Macaca mulatta: one gene and its partner. The protein of the gene in region 1 purifies or fractionates together with the protein of each later gene. This does not show direct contact. Links are inferred from orthologs where the notes say so. Each region holds a gene or a part of one and is shown in the gene's direction. Other genes may lie near its edges.

Region 1 (4,171 bases):
TTACCCTGTACTGGTAGTCGTGAATTCAAAAACATAACTTTCCTACTGTGGGCTTCAGTATTCTCATCAGAAGTGTAGATCACAATGCTACCTCCTAGGATTTATTTGGACCAAGATGTGTGATAAATCCAAGTTTCCCGTTTTCTGAAGGAAGTGTTGTCTGCAAAAATAAAAATAGTCAAGAGCTTTCTCAGAGAATCCTTCCTTGACCATCCATCTTATTTTAAATTCAATCACCACCTTGATATTCCTATGTCCGTTTAAGGCTACACTTTTTTTGTGGGTTTTTTTTTTTTTTTTTTTTTTTTTGGTGGGGGGCTGGGGATTTGTTGTTGTCTGTTTTTCGAGATGGAGTCTTGCTCTGTCACTCAGGCTGGAGTGCAGAAGTGTGATCTCAGCTCACTGCAACCTACGCCTCCCGGGTTCAAGCGATTCTCCTGCCTCAGCCTCTGGAGTAGCTGGAATTACAGGGGCATGCCATCAGTCCCGGCTAATTTTTGTATTTTTGGTAGAGACGGGGTTTCACCATGTTAGCCAGGCTGGTCTCGAACTCCTGGTCGCAGGTGATCTGCCCACCTCGGCCTCCCAAAGGGCTGATACTTACAGGTGTGGGCCACCATGCCCTGCCCAGACTATATTCTTTCTCCTATTACATTTCACTTAGAATGTTTTACTTGTTTACTGTTTATCTTCCATCCTTTAAAAGATAAGCCCTATTAGGGCAGGGATTTTTGTCTGTTCTGTTCCTCAAGGTGTCCCCAATGCCTAGAAGAGTGCCCGGCATACTAATAAATATTTGCAAAATGAATGAAGTTGTACCTGCAAAGAGATTAACTGGTACCTGTCACCTAGAGAGTGCTCAGTGAAAGGGAACCCAACGTTATTTTACATTAGTCTTCCTCTTAGGGATGAAGGGACTCCAACGGTTGGTTAAATATGGTAAAGAGCTAAATTGGTGTTGCTCAACCCTTCTAACACTACAAGTCCCGGGAAGCCTCGCGATGCCCTAATCCTTTGTTTCCCACCGTGCCCCGCGCGGCGCAGGCGCTGTTACTCCGGGTGGGTCTGGGAACCTGGAACTACACCTCCCAGGAAGCTTGGTGGTCGATGGTTTGTTTCCGGAAGCAAAGCCCCAGGAGGGTGGGACCTAAAGCTGGGAGACTAAAGAGGCAGCTCTCAATTGGTCAGGATGTAAGATTGACGACTGCATTAACTAATAGGAGCAAGCTGCTGCCGAAGGGGCCCGCCCACAGAAGGGTGGTGGCCATGGTCCAGGCTGAACACAACCAAAGGCGGAGGAGCTGTGGCCCACGAAGCTCATCTTTGAACTGTCCCCGCCCGCCTCCCGCCTTGATTTGTGACCCTAGGCCCTTTGGGGCGCCTCTGACCCAGCTAGCCAGATCCTGGACCCAAACCATGTTCCCCGTGAAGGTGAAAGTGGAGAAATCAGGTGAGGACCCTGACGTCGGGGGCCTGTCGGGACCATCGGGTTGACAGGGTGTGGAGTCCCGGTAGAAGGGAGTATCGCGGAAAGAGGACTGCACGACTTTTCCCTGCAGCCCACCTGACAATCGCTGTATCAGGCAGCGAGCGTTGGCTGCCACCTTCACACCCTCCCGGTCTGCGCTTGAAGTCGCTTTGAGATTGAATGGTGGTGGCTCAGGCAGTGCGGTGCGTGGTAAGATATGGGGAATCCTGAGCCGGTAACTCTGAGAAGGGCCCTTTTCTCTTTTTTTTAATCTAAATTTTTTAAATATTTAAGTAGAGACGGAGTATCGCTATATTGCCCAGGCTGGTCTCGAACTCCTGACCTCAAGTGATCCTCCCGCCTTAGCTTCCTAAAGTGCTAAGATTACAGGCGTGAGCCCCCGCGCCCGGCCGAGAAGTTCTCTTTTCTTGGCTTCCCCTCAGTTTCCCCATTTCCAGCAGTGATCAGTCACACATACTTGCTGTGAGCCTGAAGTACAGGCACTCTTAATCCTCACAGTCACTATATTCCAGTAATCCTAGGAAATAGGAATTGTGGTCATTGGGGAAACTGAAACTTAGATCATTTTGGGTTGGGGCAGAGCTGACCGGATCGCAGGCCTGGCATGGTAAGGGCAGTGGGAGGGGTGCAGAATTTAGACAGAAAGATAATAGTAAAATGATGTAGGATGTCCCATGGCAAAAGTGTTATCAAAACAAAGTGGCAGGCCAGGTGCGGTGGCTCACGCCTGTAATCCCAACACTTTGGGAGGCCGAGGCCGGCAGATCACTTGAGGTCAGGAGTTTGAGACCAGCCTGGGCAACATGGCAAAACCCTGTCTCTATAAAAAATACAAAAAAAAAAAAAAAAGAAAGAAAGAAAATTAGCCAGGTGTGGTGGCACGAGCCTCTAGTCCCAGCTACTCAGGAGGCTGAGGCAGGAAGATCGCTGGAGCCGGGGAGGTGGAGGTTGCAGTGAGCTGAGATCACACCACTGCACTCCAGCCTGGGTGATAGATTGAGACCCTGAAAAAACAAACAAACAAACAAAGAAAAAACCAAAAAACGAAGGAAGAGAGAGAGAGAGAAAGAAAGAAAAGGGAGGGAGGGAAGGAAGGAAGAATAAAGGAAGGAAAAAGGAAAGGAAAGGAAAAGGAAAGGAGAAAGAAAGAAAAGGAAGGAAGGAAAGAAAAAGAAAGAAAGAAGAAAAGAAAAGAAAAAAAAAGAAAGAAAAGTGAAGTGGGTCTGACCACAAATGATGGTGAGGGAAGGTATACATCTCTTAGTACCAGGCTGAGGAGTGCAGACTCCACCCCTGGGTGCTGTAGAGTCATGGAAGGTTCCAATGGAAGGTTCCAAGCAGGGGAAGATCAGGGTCAGGTTTGTTATTTTTCTGGAAGATTCCCCTGGCTGCCTTGTGGAGGGTGGATCAGAAGGGGACACTGAGGTGGGAGCCCAGGGGGAGCAAAGGTCTGGACCAGCATGGATAGAGTGGAGAGGAGGTAGGTGGGAGAGACACTAGGGAGGCCTAGTGGACAGGTCATGGGATTGCTGGGCTGGGGTAGGGGAGAGAGAGGGGTATTCATGGTGAGGTACAGGGAGGAACTAGGGGACAGTGAGGCGACCCTTGAGAGGGAGGCTTCAGGCCCAAGTCGGGGGTTCAGGAGAGAAGCTGGGCCTGGGGAGAGATCCGTACCCTCTGCATCCGCCCAAGGCTTTGCTGCAATCTCAGCTACTCCCTTCCCCACCCTCACTCTGTCTTTCCTCTGAGCTATGTTTGAATCCCTGTGTCTCCTGACCTTCTCAGGAAGTCCCTGGACTGGTCAGGCAAGTTCCCAGGTATCCCCTCCTGGCTCTGAGCACTAGAGCCAGAGCTCCCACCAGTCAGAAAGGCAGAGCAAACACCTCTCAAAGGTAGGACAGCATAACATCATCACTCCCTCAAGTTCTGTGATGATGGGAGGCAGCCACAGGCTCACTGGGCAGGAGGGTGGGCCTAGATCTCATTTCCTGAGGGGAAAAAAAAAGTCCAAACAGGATGTTTTAGGTGAAATCTCCCAATTTTGGCCGGGCATGGTGGCTCATGCCTATAATCCCAGCACTTTGGGAGGCTGAGGTGGGTGGATCATGAGGTCAGGAGTTTGAGACCAACCTGGTTAATATGGTGAAACCTTGTCTGTACTAAAAATACAAATATTAGTTGGGCATGGTGGCACACGCCTATAGTCCCAGCTGCTTGAGAGGCTGAGGCAGGAGAATCACTTGTACTCGGGAGGCAGAGGTGGCAGTGAGCCGAGATCACGCCACTGCACTCCAACCTGGGCAACAGAGCAAGACTCTGTCTCAAAAGAAAAGAAATCTCCCAATTTTTAAATGTCAGCTCATTCAGATTGAATTCAGATTTAAAATTATACCACTGTTGGCCGGGTGTGGTGGCTCACGCCTGTAATCCCAGCACTTTGGGAGGCCGAGGCCAGCAGATCACTGAGGTCAGGAGTTCGAGACCAGCCTGGTCAACATGGTAAGACCCCATCTCTACTAAAAATACAAAAATTAGCCAGGCATGGTGGCGGGCTCCTGTAATCCCAGCTACTTGGGAGGCTGAGGCAGGAGAATCGCTCGAACCTAGGAGGTGGAGGTTGCAGTGAGCCAAGATTATGCCACTGCATTCCAGCCTGGGTGACAGAGCAAGACTCCGTCTCAC
Region 2 (3,647 bases), on another chromosome or scaffold:
CACCATTGTATATGTGGTCCACTGTTGACCAAAATGTTATGTGGCATATGCCTGTATTAGATTTGGAGTGTAGGTGAAAGTGAAAGAGTTATCTTTTTTTTTTTTTTTTTTTTAAAGAGACAGGATCTCGCTCAGTTACCTGTCTTGGAATGTAGTGGCACAAACATAGCTCACTGCAGTCTTGCATTCCTGAGCTTAAGCGATCCTCTTATCTCAGCCACCCAAGTAGCTGGGACTGCAGGCAAGCACCACCATTCCTGGTTAATTTTTTTATTTTCGTTTTTAGAGTCAGGGTCTCACTACATTGCCCTGGCTAGTCTTGAACTCCTGGCCTCAAGGGATACTCCCACTTCAGCCTCCCGAGTTACTGGGATTATAAACATGAGCCACCAAGTCAGGCTTTTATCTTTAGATTAATATTAATTTATCATGTTATAGTTGTAAAAGCACAGAACTAAGAGTAAGGAGTTTTATACCCATTACTACAGCTAGCAGCTTTGTGACCTTGGGCAAATATCTTCACTTCTCTGGCCCTTTATCTACATAAGGAAAACTGAGACCAGATAATTCTACATCTCTTCTTTCCAGAATTAAAGCATTTTAACGTAATATTATATCTGTTTTTCTGTTTGTCTTTTGCTTGCCAGGGAGAAGTTACACACTGGTTGGCATGTTCATTATACGTTGCATGCCGCAAAAGCATTATTCCCACGGTTGGAAAGGGTATCATGGAAGGCAACTGTGTTTCACTTACCAGAATACTACGTTCAGCTAAATTAAGGTAAACCTCTTTCATGTTTTTAAGTGTTATATAAGCTCTAAATTTTAGAATCAGTTTTCTCTTGTTTTGAAATCATTTGACTTCATTTAATTTTTATTTTATTTATTTATTTATTTATTTTTGAGACAGAGTCTCACTGTGCCAGCCAGGCTGGAATGCAGTGGCGCAGTCTTGGCTTACTGCAATCTCTGCCTCCTGGGTTCAAATGATTCTCATGCCTCAGCCTCCCAAGTATCTGGGATTACAGACACACACCACTAAGCCCGGCTAATTTTTTGTATTTTTTTTAGTAGAGATGGGGTTTCACCATGTTGCTCAGGCTGTTCTCGAACTCCTGACCTCAAGTGATCTGCCTACCTTGGCCTCCCAAAGTGCTATAGGATTACAGACGTGAGCCACTGTGTGACTTCATTTAATTCTAAGTTTGTTAAAACGTAGATAATCCTTTCCCAATTTTCATATTCTTTCTCTGCCTTTCACAAATTCTGCTAGAAACCTCTGTGTTAAATCTTTAGCTATATTTTTTTAAATTAATTTTTTAAAATTTGGAAATAATTTTAGGCTTACAGAAAAGTTGCAAAAATAAGAAAAGGACAATACCCATATATCCTTGACTCAGAGTCACCTGTTATTGACATTTTACCCCTTTTGCTTTCTCATTTGATTTTTTTTTCTTCAATATATAGATCTGTCTCTCTTTCTCTCTTTTTTTTTTTTCGAGATGGAGTTTCGCTCTTGTTGCCCAGGCTAGAGTGCAGTGGTACAATCTTGGCTCACCGTAACCTCTGCCTCCCGGGTTCAAGCGATTCTCCTGCCTCAGCCTCCCGAGTAGCTGGGATTACAGGCATGTGCCACCACGCCTGGCTAATTTTGTATTTTTAGTAGAGATGGGTTTCTCCATGTTGGTCGGGCTGGTCTCGAACTCCCAACCTCAGGTGATCCACCTGCCTCGGCTTCCCTAAGTACTGGGATTACAGGCGTGAGCCAACCTTTCCGGCTAGACCTTCCTCTTTTTTTCCTCAACCATTTCAATCTAAGTAGCATACATTTATAGCCTTTTACCCCAAAATACTTCACTGTGTATTTCTTTAAATAACTACAGTACAGTTACCAACTTCAGCAAAATTAACACTAATAAAATAATTTTATCTAACCAGATATCTCTGTTCTAGTTTTGTTAGTTGATTCAATAATGTTCTTTATAGCATTTTTTTTTCTGGAAGTACAATTTCTAATTAAGGATCAAGTATTGCATTTGCTTATCATGTGTATTTATTCTTCTTTAATTAGGAACATTTCCACAGCCTTTCTTTTTCTTTTATGACATTACCATTTTGGAGGAATATTATCCACAATCACTTTGTCCCTTTCTTTAATTAAAAAAAATTTTTTAGAGACCGGATCTTGCTCTGCCCAGGCCTCGAGTACAGTGGCACCTTTTTAGCTCACTGCAGCCTCAAACTCCTCAGCTCAAATGATCCTCCTGCTTCAGCCTCCCAAGTAGCTGAAACTACAATCATGTGCCACCATGCCTGACTGATATTTAAAAATCTTTTTATAGAGACAGGGTCTCACTGTGTTACTCACGCTTGTCTCAAAGTCCTGACCTCAAGTGATCCTCTTGCCTCAGCCTTTTTTTTTTTGGGACAGAGTCTCACTCTGTTGCCCAGGCTGGAGTGCAGTGGTGCGATCTCAGCTCATTGCAACCTCCGCCTCCTGAGTAGCTGGGACTATAGGCACATGCCACTACACCCAGCTAATTTTTGTATTTTTGGTAGAGATGGAGTTTCACCATATTGGCCAGGCTGGTCTCAAACTCCTGACCTTGTGATCCACCCGCCTCAGCCTCCCAAAGTGCTGGGATTACAGGCATGAGCCACTGTGCCCACCCTCATCCCCTCTTTGAATAGATGGTTCCCAATTTTGGATTTGTCTCCTATTAACTTTTGATAAGATGCAGGTTATTCATTCCGTGATGGAAAACTATATAAGTGATTTTGTGTCCTAAGGAGATCACATCTGATGATGGCACGTGTTATCCACCTTCATCTCATTGGTGATGTTAATTTTTATCATCTGGTCAAGATGTTGTCCTATTTCTCTACTGTATATTAATTTTTTTCCCCTTGCAGCTACTCAATGGGTCTCAGATACATCTTTTACTTACTCTAGTATCAAGCATATAGAATTATTTGTCTGGATAGGAAACGAAACAAATTTAGCGATCCAGTTTAGATTCATGCTAATGAATATAATAATATTCTTTGTTTCTGGGACAAAACTATTTGTGGTCATTGTCTATTTGCTATTCCGGGTTTCCAGAATAGAAGAGGAGCAAAGTTTAAAGCCCTATCCAGGAATGGCAAATAGATTTTAGTTCATGCTAAATTTAAATTTTTTTTTTTTTTTTTGAGATGGAGTTTCACTCTTGTTGCCCAGGCTAGAGTGCAATGGCCTGATCTCGGCTCACCGTAGCCTCTGACTCCCAGGTTCAAGTGATTCTCCTGCCTCAGCTTCCCCAGTAGCTGGGATTACAGGTGTCTGCCACCACGCCTGGCTAATTTTTTGTATTTTTAATAGAGACAGGGTTTCACCATGTTGGCCGGGCTGGTTTCAAACTCCTGTCCTCAGGTGATCCACCTGCCTCAGCCTCCCAAAGTGCTGGGACTACAGATGTGAGTCACCATGTCCAGCCTAAAAAAAAAATGTTTTTAAACAATTTTGGTTCTAAAAATAAAATAAGATGATAAAAAGTAAATGAAGATCAATGGGGTTAATTTTTTAATTGAGCAAGACATTATCATTGTTAGTATAAAACAATCTGATCTTTTTCTGTCAATGTTTCTCATCATTGTTCATATAATTT

Evidence for each region. The genes of interacting proteins can lie anywhere in the genome.
Region 2: the proteins of LIN37 (region 1) and RBL1 purify together in Homo sapiens (affinity purification with mass spectrometry; 3 studies listed by BioGRID and IntAct, with this or other methods). This does not show direct contact. The link is inferred for Macaca mulatta from reciprocal best matches to the Homo sapiens genes LIN37 and RBL1.

The regions. Positions count from the first base shown.
Region 1 is NC_133424.1:46,996,056-47,000,226, forward strand, and holds the start of LIN37 (protein lin-37 homolog), read left to right. Parts: upstream 1-1,266; coding exon 1,267-1,450; intron 1,451-1,505; exon of another isoform or gene 1,506-1,703; intron 1,704-4,171.
Region 2 is NC_133415.1:89,942,071-89,945,717, reverse strand, and holds part of RBL1 (retinoblastoma-like protein 1), read left to right. Parts: intron 1-647; coding exon 648-781; intron 782-3,647. UniProt on the Homo sapiens protein: Key regulator of entry into cell division. Directly involved in heterochromatin formation by maintaining overall chromatin structure and, in particular, that of constitutive heterochromatin by stabilizing histone methylation.